Drosophila melanogaster: one gene and its partner. The protein of the gene in region 2 binds, or shares a complex with, the protein of the main gene of each other region. Each region holds a gene or a part of one and is shown on either strand. Other genes may lie near its edges.

Region 1 (8,407 bases), on a different chromosome or scaffold from region 2:
ATCAAAAACCGTTTAAATCGTTTTCACCTTGCGACAAGAAAAATTACAACACCAGGCGTTGGAGTGCTGCAAAACGTATGCGGGCTGCGGGAACTTACCAGCACTAGCAGTGGTGGTATTTTTGGCTAAGCAGGGCATTTAGCTATTTTCTTGCTAAATACTACGTTTCTAAGTGATGGCAATGGATGAGAATCCCAAAAATTAGACCAATACTGTTAATTATTTTCTCAGGTGTTTAGATAAGAAAATAAAATAAAATGGCTTGCGTATCTGTTATTACACTTTGTTTAATATTTTGCGTCCCATACCGCTTTATTTCCCAAAAAGTATATGAAAAGTATGAATCCCTGGTAAGGGAAATTATTCAAGGAAGAAGAAGAAACAGCAAGCCGGAACGCAGGGAATTTTTTAGACAAGTTTGTCAACGTTTGCTAAGATTTTGTCGAGTTTGTGCAGTAAATAATAACAAACAACAGATATGGCAGATAAGGCGCAGGAACAAAGTATAATGGACAAGTCCATGCGGTCGGTTTTTGTGGGGAACATACCCTACGAGGCCACCGAGGAGAAGCTAAAGGAGATTTTCAGCGAAGTGGGCCCGGTCTTGTCACTGAAGTGAGTTCCCTACTTAGAGCCATGCAATATCTCACTGTAAACCTCCTATTCTCAATCCCCCAGACTGGTCTTTGATCGGGAAAGTGGCAAACCCAAGGGCTTTGGCTTCTGCGAGTACAAGGACCAGGAGACGGCTTTAAGTGCCATGCGGAATCTGAATGGCTATGAGATCGGCGGCAGAACACTGCGAGTGGACAACGCGTGTACGGAGAAGTCGCGCATGGAGATGCAGCAGCTGCTTCAGGGACCCCAGGTGGAGAATCCCTATGGCGAGCCCTGCGAACCAGAGGATGCTCCCGAGCTCATCACCAAAACGGTGGCTTCCTTGCCGCCGGAGCAAATGTACGAGCTGATGAAGCAGATGAAGCTCTGCATCGTGAGCAATCCATCGGAGGCACGCCAGATGCTAATGCTCAATCCTCAGTTGGCGTACGCTTTGCTCCAGGCCATGGTGGTTATGAGGATCGTGGACCCTCAGCAGGCGCTCGGGATGCTCTTCAAGGCCAACCAAATGCCCCCCGTCTTGGGCGGCAATCCGCACCAGGGGCCGGGGAATCACACCATGATGGGTCAGCAACAGGTTCCGCAACAGCAGGTGCAGATCCCGCAGCAACAGCAACAGGCTCCCCAGCCACCAATGCCCGTTCCCGGACCTGGCTTCCCGGCCAATGTCCATCCGAACGATATCGATTTGCGCATGGTGCCGGGTGGACCCATGCCGATGGATCCCAGGATGATGGGCCGTGGCATGGACCAGGATTTGCGAGCTTCTCTACCCAATCCAGTGCCACCGCCGCTGATGGATCCCCGAGCTCGTGCCCAGATGCCCCCACAGCAGCAGCAGGGCGTTCCGCAGGCGCCACCGGCCCCCTATCCCAGCGATCCGCGCCAGCGTCCCATGGATCCCAGGTTAAGGGCAGGACCTGGTCCTCAGCAGCAGGCGCCGCCACAAGGAATCCCCCAAGCGCCGCCACCGACACAACAACAGCAGGCGGCCGCTCAGCAGTTGCAGAGCAGACTAGGCGCCCATGGAGTCCTGCCCTCGGATGCCTCCGACCAGGAGAAGGCTGCCCTCATCATGCAGGTACTGCAGCTGTCCGACGAACAGATTGCGCAGCTGCCCTCCGAGCAACGGGTCAGTATTGTCATGCTCAAAGAGCAGATTGCGAAGAGTACCCAGCGCTGAAACTACTCTGGCTGAAACAAATGAAAAATCACCATTTCGCTCATGCATACTATAGTACTTTCAACATTGAATCAATTAATAAAAAGAACATTTCAACACAAGGAGATTTATTAAGCGGAATAGAATGGTTTTCAAAGAGCGGAGACTAGGGTCTGGTGTAACTTCTGAACCGTCGTATTGAGCATTTGTCGCAGCACATCATCCTCGGCACAGCTGATGGCCTGGAAAGATTGTAGATTAACGATATTTTTCGATTTTAAAAAGCACCTTCGACGAACACTCACCAGGGTTTCCAGATTTATTTCCGCACGTTTACCGCTCACCGTCACTGGCAGCAGATCGCCCTCGAACATTTTTGGCACGCAGTTGTCGCCGAAGGTGTCCTGTAGCGTCTCGATTAGGCACTCCCGAAAGCGCGAGTCCTCTGACTTGGTTTGCTTTGTGGCACCCTTCAGATTTGTTCCGCCCAACTCCGATTGCATGATGCAGGCAAGAACGGCATCGGCGTACACATCATTCACATGCGTCGCTTGCCACTCCATCACAATGATTTTCTGCTCCACAGTTAGCTCGATGCAGCCGAACACGCGCAGCTTTCGCTCCGCCTCCAGCACCTCAACGCATCCGGCTCCAATGCGATCCAGCAGTAGCTCTAGAGTGCTCAGCGAGCTGCCCCAGGGAATCGACTGGCGTTGGGTTACAACAGACATGCTCATATCCGTGTATTCTGTGGGAATTATTTAAATGAATCGACATTTTTACAAAGAAACTAACTAACTATTACTTACTGCCCAGATCAGAAGGAGCCAAGAGGTGGTACTTAAAGTCGCGCTTAACCAGAACACCTGAGAGTTTGCTTCCCACCTCCGAGTTCTTGGCTGCGAGGCTTCCCATCACCTTGGCGGTTTTCTCGCCACGGAAATAAAGATCCACGGCATGTGTGTTTCGCGGGTTGTAGAATTTTATATCCGTGCTTGCATCTGCTTCGTATTCCCGCTGCAGGGCCAACTTCAGACGCGACATCTCGTTCTGCTCGCCGTGGACGAGCACGACATGCGTTGGCTTTAGTAGGCGGATGAATTCACTGGTCTGCTGGTAGTCCGTGTGAGCCGAAAACGATATGTAGTCGACGGACATGTTGAGCGGCAGCTTCTGGCCCGACAGTGTGGTGATCTCCTCCGGCTCGGAGAGAACGGCTTTGGCCAAAGTGCCCTCCACGCAGTAACCGGCTATAATCACTCCGTTCTTGGGATCTGTGCACCAGCTCTCGAAGAGCTCTCGCGACAATCCCGACTGCATCATACCCGGCGACGCCATGATTACGCAGGGTCCGATATCCTCGAAGTGATCGATACCCTTCAGGTTGGAAATGTGGCGGAAAACGAAGGGATTGTTCACAGCTATCTGTCGTCGAATTCGATCGTTCATAGCATTGATGTACGTCTGGTAGACAGCCATGCACTTCTTGGCCAAAGAGGAGGCATAGTAGATGGGAATCTCGTGCAGATCCGGGTTCTGCGACCAGAATTCATCCAGAATAAGTAGCAGTTCTTGGGCACGGCCCAAAGCAAATACTGGAATTAAGCATCTCCCGCCTTGCTGAACAATTTTCTGCACCAGCGAGGTAAATCGATTCTCTCGATCCTCTCTTTTCTCGTGAATGTGAGTGCCGTAGGTGGACTCTGTGATAAGAACATCCGGCTTCATCGGTGGCACTTCGGCAGCCATCAAATGTCGATCCTCCTGGCGCGAAAAGTCACCAGTATACAAGATCTTGATGCCAGCAATCTCGATCATGAACATGGCGGCACCCAAAACATGACCAGCAATATAGGCACAAAAGCGTACGCCCATCACATCGCGCTCCTCGTGGAAATTGATCGTCTCGATCTTCTCCATGGAGGCCTCCAGATCGGCTTCCGTGTATAGCATCTGTTCGGTGGATATGTTACTGATCTTGATGTAATCGGACAGCATCCATCGGTAAATGGCTTTCGTGGCATGGGTCATAAAGCAGCGGCCTTTAAAGCTGGTCTTCATGAGAAACCAAGGCAAGGCACCGCAGTGATCCAAGTGGAAACTGATAAATATAAGCATTCACCATTAAAAGTTCAATGCCCATTTAATCGCCGCAGTACTTACTGTGATATAAACAGCAGATCAATCTCATCCGCCTCTATTAGATCTACGTAGGGCAGGGCATCCATGCCGGACAATCCCGGATGGATTCCGCAGTCCAGCATTATCTTCTTGCCCTTAAATTCCAACATGATGCAGGAGCGTCCCACTTCCTGGCCAGCACCACTGAAATATAAGCGTTACCCTTGAGCTTCTATCTGGTTTAAATCAAGATTCCTTACAGTGGCTTGATCTGCAGCAGGTCGCTTTCCTCGTCTGGCATGCGTGCATCACCTGTTGCCTGCGTCATGATGTCTAAAATAATGTAATCAATAACAAACTTTTTTACAAATCGCCGGCAACAAAACGCTGTGCACGGCAGTGTGACCAAAGTTTGATGACTGCCGGTATGGACCTGTTCACACAAGGGCTGGAAAAGAACATTGTACTTTTTCCTTTTACATTAACATTAAGTTATTAGGACAATTTAATTTTCTCGTAAACATTTGTTCATTAAGTAGGGCCTAGATTAAATCTGGCTATTAATCTTTCCCGATACTCTCAACTCATTCCACTTGGGCCCCGCCTGACCTGGTCACACCGATTGCCACACGAAAGTCGAACAAATAAAGGAAAACTATTTTTGACAAATGGGAGGATCCAGCTACGATGGTGAGCAGTGGGACTTAATGGTTACCTTCCATATAAGCTATCTCTCCTCTCGACCTCCCGCACAGTGCTCAGGAAGCAGGCGCGGAGCCTGGAAAACGAGATCGACCTGAAGCTGGTGGCATTCAGCAAAATCGGAGCTGGCAGTGGAGGAGGTGGAAGTGGAGGACTAGGAGGCGTTGACACATCGCCGCTCCTGGGCGAGCACGTCTTCGATTCGCTGTCGGAGGAGATCGAGCAAATGCTGGAGAAGGTGCGATATGTGACCCAATGCCATGCGATGGTGCAGGGATTAAACCCGAAACAATGTAGTGCGGATTCCTTATTTATTTATTAAGCAAATTTCTGTGCCACCGGCTTTGTGCTACTATGAATTACTAATTTCCCACTAAGCCTTCCCAAAAATCATAATTTAATTGGCAGAATTGAGCACACAATTGAAAAACTGCCACGATTAACTTATATATATTGAAAACATTCCATCACTTTCCAATTTTTTATGAATCTGTATATATATTATACTTTATTATTCGAGTTTTTTTTATGCTCTGATCTTTGCTAAATTCTTTAAAAGAAAATGTTTAAGAATTCCTCTTTGAATTCGCTAAATGAATTCCATTTGATAAATACTTTAATAGATAATTCCAAGTAATGAATGAGTCACCGACTGAAGCACAAAATGTTCAAATTGTTTTGCTTGTTAAGTTATCTACGTTTTTTAGGCAATTCCCATATCTATAGAATTTCTATAGAATAGAAGGATTTCATTTCTATTTCATCCTTCTTAATTGCAGCTATCCTCGCTAAATGAGTCCATGTCCGATTTGCCCGCCTCTGGAGCAGCCGCCATGCACACACTGCAGAGGCATCGAGAGATCCTGCAGGGGTATCGCCAGGAGTTCAATAAGATCTGCGCCAATCACACAATGCGAATCGAGCGAGAGGAGCTGCTTCGTGGCTCAGGGTTGGCCACCAGCTCCGGCAGTCCATCCATCTCGGGCCTAAACCGGCGAGAAATGTACCTGAAGGAGAGCGGGCACCTCAACAGCGCCAGTCACTTGGTCAACGATCAGATAAATATCGCGATTGAGACGCGTGACCATCTTCACGCCCAGCGACAAGCATTCAAGCGGCTGCAGACCCGCTTTAACGATATCTCCAATCGATTCCCACTGATTTCCAGGTGAGACAGACGAGTTCTCAATTCAATTTATGCATATTTACTTATCCAATTATTTGTTGTATATGCACAGTCTCATTCAGCGCATCAACATTAAAAAGCGACGCGATTCGCTGATCCTGGGAGCAGTTATTGGCTTCTGTGTGATCTTGCTGCTGCTCTACGCCTTCAACTAGTGACCCGCCACCGCGATTTGGCCAAAGATAGAGCTTGCATTAAACTCCATTACAGACAATTGAATTTTAGTTTGTTTTTTCCGACGGTATATGTGTATGATTAACTTGTGATAGCAATAAAATGTACTATATAAGACAAAACCCAACAGCCATTGATTCTAATCTCAAGCAGCAGTTAATAATTTTAGGCAAACAGCAAACATAACAACTTATGTATATACCAAAAAGAAACCCAAAACATTTAAAACATTTACGTTATTGAAACGACTTCAATTGCACAGAGATGGCTGAAAATGCACCAGAAGAGGCTGCCCCCATAGACAATGCCGAGGAGATTCCACCCGCGGAGATTCCAGCCGCGGAGGATGCTCCCAAACTAGTAACGATCGCGGAAGCGGCGGAGGGTGCAGAAATCCAAGGTGAGACAGCTAACGTAGATCAAATAGAAGGAGAAGGCGAAACGGTGTTGCCAGCCGAGGATGACGAAGCCTCAAAGGAAGGGGAGGAGTCTGGAGCTAAACACAAGGGTCTTGCTACCGCCGACGAACGAAAGCGCGAAAAGCTCCAGAGAATTAAGGAAAGGCTTGCCAAAAAAGACGAGGAAGAGGCTGCGAAGGCTGCGTTGGCTAAAGCTCCAATAGAATCTGAGGAGATGCCGGAAGACGAGGACAAGGAGGAACTTCATTCCGTGGAATCGGGCGGAGAGGATTCCGAAGATGACTTCGAAGATATAAAGGCCATCCTTAACGAAAAGCCCCCAAGCGTTGTCGTCGAAGAGGAAATCGAAGAGGATCTCGATTCGGAAGGCAGCTTTGATGAGCCCTTGCCCAGGCTGGGAGTGTCCATAAAGAGTGAGTTTATCCGCGGATTTGAAAGTTTGCCAAGCATATCGGATATATCACTCGATCCGGAGCCGGAACCAGAACCTGAACCGGAGTTAAGCGCTCAGGACAAATCCGACACCAAGGCGGACACAGATGATGGTGTATTTCACAAGGATGGCACAGATGCCGGCGAGGGCGAGTCGGGGAGCTCTTCGGGTTCCGATAAGGATGCTAGCACTGCTATAAATGCGGCGGCTGAGTCGGAAGAGGACGACGATTCCATTTTGATGGATGATCTGCCGGATGAGCAAGAGCCGACAGAAAAACAGGTCGTCATTGGGGAGGAAGTGGACACCATGGCCATGTTCACCGAGGCCGTCGATGCGGAGATGGAGACCCACCAGGAGTTGCACGTCCCCGTCGAAGAGCCCTTCTGGTATCGCCTCACTGTCGACTTCCTGAACAATCTTATCAATACCGTGGTGGAAAATGCGGAGAACGCCGAGAAGAACAAGGAGAACCTGTTGGACAAGCGCAAGATGTTGCTGGAGCTGCAGCGTCTGGTAGACGACTACACCTTCGAGAAGTACCAAAACACCCTCCTCAACAATGTCGTCTGTGACTACTTCCGTCGCAATCGCAAGTTCAACAACTTTCAGCCACTGCCACCGGAAGATGCTGCTGGCGAGTTTATTCGCTACATGAATGCCCTCAACTCGGTGGACAATCTGATGGAGCGGGTAAAGCTGATCAAGATCAAGAACGGACACAGTGCGTCGCGCGCCATGCTGGAGCTTAACTCGTATTCTGTTCTCGCCTTCAACGAAGAGCAGCGTCTGGAGGGATTCATGCGCAAGACCCTCATCCGCAAGGACATGGATCGCTTGAGGCGCGCCCTGGACAACGATCTTAGGCGCATGCAGGATCTTCGCAACCAGATCAGCGAGAAGCGCTACGAGCTCAACTTGAACCTTCACAACCTGGCATTTGTGGATGAGGTAAGGACGAATGATGCTAGGAACTTACAATCTTGTTGGAAAAATACGAGTATATTCTTCTCTCGCAGAAAGTGATGAAATTCGAGCGTGTTACCGAGACGCTGACCATTTCGCAAATGCTGTGCGCCAACGAATCCATAATACAGTTGAGCAAGCAACTAGAGGGTAAATTGATGAACTCTAGAACTTTAAGTTAATCGTTAAACTCACCTGCGTATAAATTGTATAGAAAAGTGCAAGGATGTTGCGGTCATGCAGTCGAACTACAAGAAGTCCATGATAGAGGAGACGTGCGTGCGTGAGAAGCGGGACATGATCTCCTACATGCTCTCCAAGGCGAGGGCCGAGTATATAGATCGATTCGAGCGGCGAAACAAGCTGCGCAAGGATCTGACCAGGCTGCAGCTGGAGCACGCCGACCTCAAGACCAAGCGGGACAAGCTGGAGACCAAGGGCGGACTGCTGTTCAAGCCGGGCCTGATGTACGACTACGATAAGTGCATGGCCGATATACAGGCCCGCCGTAGTCACATCCAGGCCATGAAGAAGACCTGCAACGAGTTGGGTAAACGCATTCGCGCCTGCGAAGACTCCAAGTACCAGTCCAGTTTTTCGATACGGTATCTTAGTTAATTAGGATG
Region 2 (5,435 bases):
TCTGTGTATGTATAAATCGATTCTAAGTAATAATTTGTTTAGGTTGTGTTATCATATGGGTGTTGTAGCTTAAAAGATCCTCCTCCTCCTCCAAAGCTCAGGCCTGTTGCCTAGCCTCGTTGGCCTCGTAGGCCTCCACCTCGGCGATGTTGGCCAGGTCGTACTCGATGACGCCCTTGCCCATGAACTCGGCGTACTTGGCTGACTCCGGCAGCGGATCAGCCGATCTCTTCGAGACTGTAATGGGTCGAGGAATGGGAATGGATCAGTAAGTTGCTGGCACCTGTAAGACATTGCTACTCACCGCCTGAGACGAACTTCTCCATCATGTAGACCTTCATATCGAAGCACTCGTTGGCAATCCGCTCCGAGATGAGCGAGACATCGGTGATGCGGGGCATGACCACACGCATCTGGCGCCGCACGCGCTCCGTATCTATGTTGTAGTAGCCAGTGCTCATCTTCTTTATGAGATCCACAAAGCTGGTCGGGGGCAGGGTCGTGTCCCGATCCAAGGGCATGATGAAGCACCGTCCGGTGGTAGTGTCGATAATGGCCGACTGGTTCTCCTTGAAGTCGTGCATGAAGCGACCACGACGTCCATCCTTGAAGTCGGGCACGTCCACGCGTGCGTAGCCCTCGTCATCGCTGTCACCGTCCAGTTCGATGTCCTCGCGGAAGTGGCTCTCGTCCAGCGATCCACTGTTGGGCATCGGTTGCGCGAGCTCGGGTAGCAAGGAGCGCCAGTTCAGGGCGAACGGTTCCACGGTGCGCGGATATACCCGCGCCATCTCCATCGAGTCCTCCGGATAGGGGATCTCGCACAGGGCGTGGTAGCGCATGCTGCTATGCGACGGAGCGTACACTCGGTACAGGGTCCATCCGCCCAGGACACCCAGGAGCATCACGACTACGGCGATCAGGAACAGCAGAAAGGATTTGATGCAATGGTGCTGCGGCCGGTTGAAGACCATGGATTCCGCGTCGGCTTCATTATCGCTGTAAGCAACCTTGGGCTGTGTGTGGAAAATGGGGGGTTTTAAAAATATGGGATACTCCTCTAAGTGTCACTTGCAATTTTGTAGGAACAACAAATTGCAATGGAAAAGTAGCAGTTTTATATACAATCTAAAGTTATCTAAAATGACCGACTTGTTATATCTGTTTCCTTATCACCCATTGTTCCAGTGGAAAGTCATAAAAACGACGATAAGTCGTAGAAAAATACAAATAGAAGGCAGTTGACTGTAATGTTGATAGTGGAAGTTCCACAAGTCGAAAGGTTTGAGCTTGCTGAATATTAATCACACATTTATATTTTCCGCCAGCTCAGCAAGATAATTTTTCACTGCAATGCCTTCTCTTGTTCTATAAACAATGCAATTGCATTGCTAAGTCAAAATTGTTTCGAAAGATACGTCGTTAGCGAGAGATTAGTCTAAGGAGGGGTCAGAAGAGATCCCCTTGCAAAAAATTAATCAATTGAAGGCATTTGCATGCACTAGAGTGGACCTTATTCGACTATGTAGTGCATAACTCATATGTAAATGTATGATTGTATATAAATCTCTGGAAAATTAGTGATATCTACACTAAATAAATAAACTGCAGATGGGCAAATATGCTGGGAGATGGGAGATGGGAGCTGGCAGCTGGGAATGATTGTGCTTATGACCAGCAAGCTGATAAGACACGACTTTCTCTGGATACCCGTGCACACGAATCGAGGTCAAAGTGCACAGTGTCAGCAGCTCACAAAGGGCTGCAACTGGCACCGTAAGTGGCTTTCCCCAGCCGTCAGGGCCAATCTCCACCAGCAACAGGAAAACCCTTCGCGCTGACCTCGGGGAGCGAGCGAGCGAGTCCTTGGCGCGGAAAGCCCAGGAAAGTGAATGGGCACACGTCACTTGGAGTGGAGCAGGGGTTGCATGCGGGCAGGGGGGTAAGGGGAAGCACGGGCCACAAGGACACCAAGGAGTGCGGAGCTTGGTCGGGGAAAAATCGATGGCGAGCTGCTGCTGCTGAGGCTGTAATTCGGAATGGATTCCGAATCGGAATCAGCACCAACCACCCACCCATCACGAGACTTGTGGCTCTCGGGCCGCAGGACGAAGGACACGGTGGCGGGCAGGGCGCGAGGGATGGACAAGGACATAGCACGATTGCGCAAAAATAAGGACACATCCCGCAGATGCGATGCCAAGCAAAACTCACTGCGATTAGGGAGCCATGGTGCATGAGCGCCTCGTCGTTGAGGTTCATGGGCAGGGGCACCTTCTCCTGGTCCGTGGGCTGTCCCCGCAGTTTTCCCAGAATTGTCATGGCTGCTCGTATGCTGTGTTCTTGATGCCTCCGCACGACCAACTTGTTTGTTTTTACTGAAAATTTAGTGCGCAATTGTTGACGAGCTGAAATCTCGATCCAGACAAGCCAGTGTGACCAGTTCTAATTCGCCTTTCAAAAGATGTGGACAAAAGTGAGGCAACTCTAGAGTGGTTGCAAACTTGGAAAAGACGATTCGCCGCCCAAAAATTCGAAACTTGAATCCGAAAAAAAATTGTGAGGCACAAATTGTTATCTTACAAACGAAAAAACATGATACATTTATATTTTTGGAGAAAACCCAAAACATACAACTAAACTCCCTTCCAAAACGAATTGCTTACTTGTATCTTATGGAAGTTTATTTCGCTGATAACACAATACGTTCTACTGGCAGTTCTAGGGACTTTTTTCAAAAATGCAAATGAGTTTCTTAACATACACTTTAAACACAGAATGATTGAAACGTTCGCCTGCGGAAGTTGGGAACCTACGACCTCTGGACTACACAGCGGACTATGCAGACCGCTTTCGACCTTTATTTCTGCACTCTTACAGTCTAATCATACAGAGCAGAGCGTCCTACTTATGACTATGTTGGTTAGAGAGGAAGGCGAGGTGACCCTTGGGACACTTGTTCGCGTAGTGGCCCTTGTTCCCGCACTTGTAGCAGGTGATCTCCTCCAGGGGCGTGGGCACCTTGACGAAGCCGGGACCATGCGGCTGACTGTGGTGATTGGATTGCATGTCATCGGCACCCTCGATGTGGCCGGAGTGTCCAGAGTAGCCGCCCGAGTGTCCGCCGGAGTGATCCATTGCGTTGATATTGTTGCGATGCTCCAGGCTGCCCACATACTGCTTGCACGAGTTGGCCTTGTGGCCCAGCTCGCCGCAATAGTGGCACGTGGGCAGTTTCTTGTGCAGCTGATCCTTACCCAGTTCCGCCAGCGGGGGCAGCTCGAAGTGCGGATGCATGTGCTTGCAGGACGGGCCCTCGGGGCAGAAGCCGGCTAGGTAGTCCATGCACAGGACACGGCGCAGATGCTGGTGCCGGCAGTGGGGACCGTGGCGGCAGAAGCCTCTCTTGTACCACGGACAATCCTTCACCTTGCTCTGCGGGTCGATGTGCAAAAAGGGACACTCTTTGTTGTGGCAGGCGTTGAACCTCGAGTAGAAGTAGCACTCGGGCATCTTGGTCATGTCGTACTCGTGCAGGAACTCGCACTGGTCGCCCTTCTTGCACAGTCCTCTCAGCCAGTGCTTGCACACGATCGTCCGGTCCCCGCGAATGTGTCGGAAGGGACAGGCGCTCCCTTTGTCGCACTCCTGTCCGTTCCTGGTGATGAAGTTGCAGACCGCCGCAATGGACTTGTCCATGCCGTAGAACGGCAGCGGGATGGCACCCACCTGCTCGATGAGGTCCCGCTCCGCCTTGAACTGCAGCCCACTTACGTTGGCCAAAAGGATGTCCATCTCTGACGGATTCGCGGATGCTCGGATAGATGAGGAAAAACTCCGAAATCTGGTAAACAATGCAGTTTCCTTCTTCTTTTTTTGCGCGTGTTTGTTGTTTCAGTGCGAATAGTGCTGACACGCAACCGGCGTTATCGATATCGATAGTTCGCAAGGCAAGACAGTCATGGCCGTCTAGCTGTTTATTAGCCAAATCTGTCCACTTCAGGGAATAGATATTTGTATATAAATATTTTTAGTCTCCAAATGTTTTTAATTTATAAGATTAGTCATAGTAAGAAAATACTTGTTTTTATGACCTTATTTAACTAAACCGCCATTAATAACATTTTAGCTATTTAGCTACAAAAGTAAGTTGATATTGGTCAGCACTGTTGGCGACTAAAGTATTACATAGAAATTAAGTATCCGCCCCGTTAGTGTTGCTGATAAAAGGGCTTATCTACAATGAACGAGCCAGTTTCAAAAATTTCACTTACACAAGAGCAACACTTGAATTGCTTCGAAATTTAAACATTAAACACTGAGTAAATTCGATAATGAACCACCCCCGCCGCCAGAGGCCGATAGTCAGCTGGTATCGATCACTTGTTTACAACTTTTCGCAATGTTTATAACGTAAGCAATCTGCGTGAAAAGCCATTAGTTAATTTGGGAGCGAGGAACTGAAAAATGAGGAGCGAGCGCCGCTGAAGAACCCAACCCGACCAACACCCCACGTAGTCCACCCACTCCAAAGGTCAAATGCTGCCTACTTACGAGCGCTTCAGTGATCCCAAAAGCGTCCTCTTCCGGCTTCCCTTTGCGCGACTGGCACTGGTGGCTCTTAGTTTGCCCCTGGGAGGCTTCTTCTTCTGCGTGATTTGGTCTCTGACCTTTGACTTCGTTAGGAGCACCTACACCCACTGCGATGTGACCAACTATCTGCCCTCCGTCTCGGCGGCCATTGGGAACTATGAGCCCCAAAAAACCGTCTGGAGACTGGCCATATTTCTGCATTTACCACTCCGTTTGGCAGTTGCCAAAATCTACTTGGAGCACTATCGGGAACACATCCGCCGGAGCAGAAGATTGCTGGGCATCCTGGCCTGCTTCTTGAACGTCGTGGAGGATCTGGCCCTCTTCTGCTTGTCGTTTTGGACCTCTGCGGATCATTACGAGACCCACAGAAACGCATTTGTGGTGTTCATTGCGTGTTCCGAGTGCTATATGCTGGTTTCCTACCTGCTGAACAGGAATATACAGAAGACCGTGCTCTTGCCGCACGAGGAGAAGTCGCTGAGGTACAAGAGAAATCTGTTCTTGGTGAATGTGATCGCCTTTGGCTTGGCAGGATACTGCTTCGTGAGGCACAACTCGCATTGCGAGGCGGGAGGTGAGTGGGAATCGGTTGTGAGTCCACTATTGTCTTATAATGAATCTTTTCTATCCACAGTCTATACTTTCTTCGCGTTGTTCGAGTACATCGTGGTGCTGACCAACATGGGGTTCCACATGACCTCCTACTGGGACTTCTACGCCCTGAATGTGGTGTGTGATGCCAAGCACGGTCTCTACCTATCACAATCGTAGACCAATGAACTAGATCAAACCCAGCCTGCGCCGCCATTTCAGCCAGCCAGTCGTCCTCGAGTATTGTG

The links. The genes of interacting proteins can lie anywhere in the genome.
Region 1: Clp (region 2) and Cpsf73 share a complex: the UniProt entries of both Drosophila melanogaster proteins name them as parts of the cleavage and polyadenylation specificity factor (CPSF) complex.

What each region holds. Positions count from the first base shown.
Region 1 is NT_033777.3:18,659,227-18,667,633, forward strand, and holds Cpsf73 (cleavage and polyadenylation specificity factor 73), read right to left. Parts: upstream 4,327-8,407; 5' UTR 4,230-4,326; coding exon 4,162-4,229; intron 4,106-4,161; coding exon 3,944-4,105; intron 3,882-3,943; coding exon 2,590-3,881; intron 2,529-2,589; coding exon 2,086-2,528; intron 2,023-2,085; coding exon 1,933-2,022; 3' UTR 1,895-1,932; downstream 1-1,894. Other genes in the region: CstF64 (cleavage stimulation factor 64 kD subunit), read left to right, coding at 479-615, 679-1,801; Gos28 (golgi SNARE, 28 kDa), read left to right, coding at 4,570-4,591, 4,657-4,841, 5,383-5,771, 5,842-5,944; CG31231 (uncharacterized protein), read left to right, coding at 6,228-7,766, 7,835-7,931, 7,996-8,399. UniProt on the Drosophila melanogaster protein: Component of the cleavage and polyadenylation specificity factor (CPSF) complex that plays a key role in pre-mRNA 3'-end formation, recognizing the AAUAAA signal sequence and interacting with poly(A) polymerase and other factors to bring about cleavage and poly(A) addition.
Region 2 is NT_033779.5:818,439-823,873, reverse strand, and holds Clp (clipper), read right to left. Parts: upstream 3,911-5,435; 5' UTR 3,796-3,910; coding exon 2,905-3,795; 3' UTR 2,665-2,904; downstream 1-2,664. Other genes in the region: CG3662 (uncharacterized protein), read right to left, coding at 98-237, 305-1,016, 2,215-2,322; PGAP2 (Post-GPI attachment to proteins 2), read left to right, coding at 4,540-5,170, 5,231-5,367. UniProt on the Drosophila melanogaster protein: Component of the cleavage and polyadenylation specificity factor (CPSF) complex that plays a key role in pre-mRNA 3'-end formation, recognizing the AAUAAA signal sequence and interacting with poly(A) polymerase and other factors to bring about cleavage and poly(A) addition.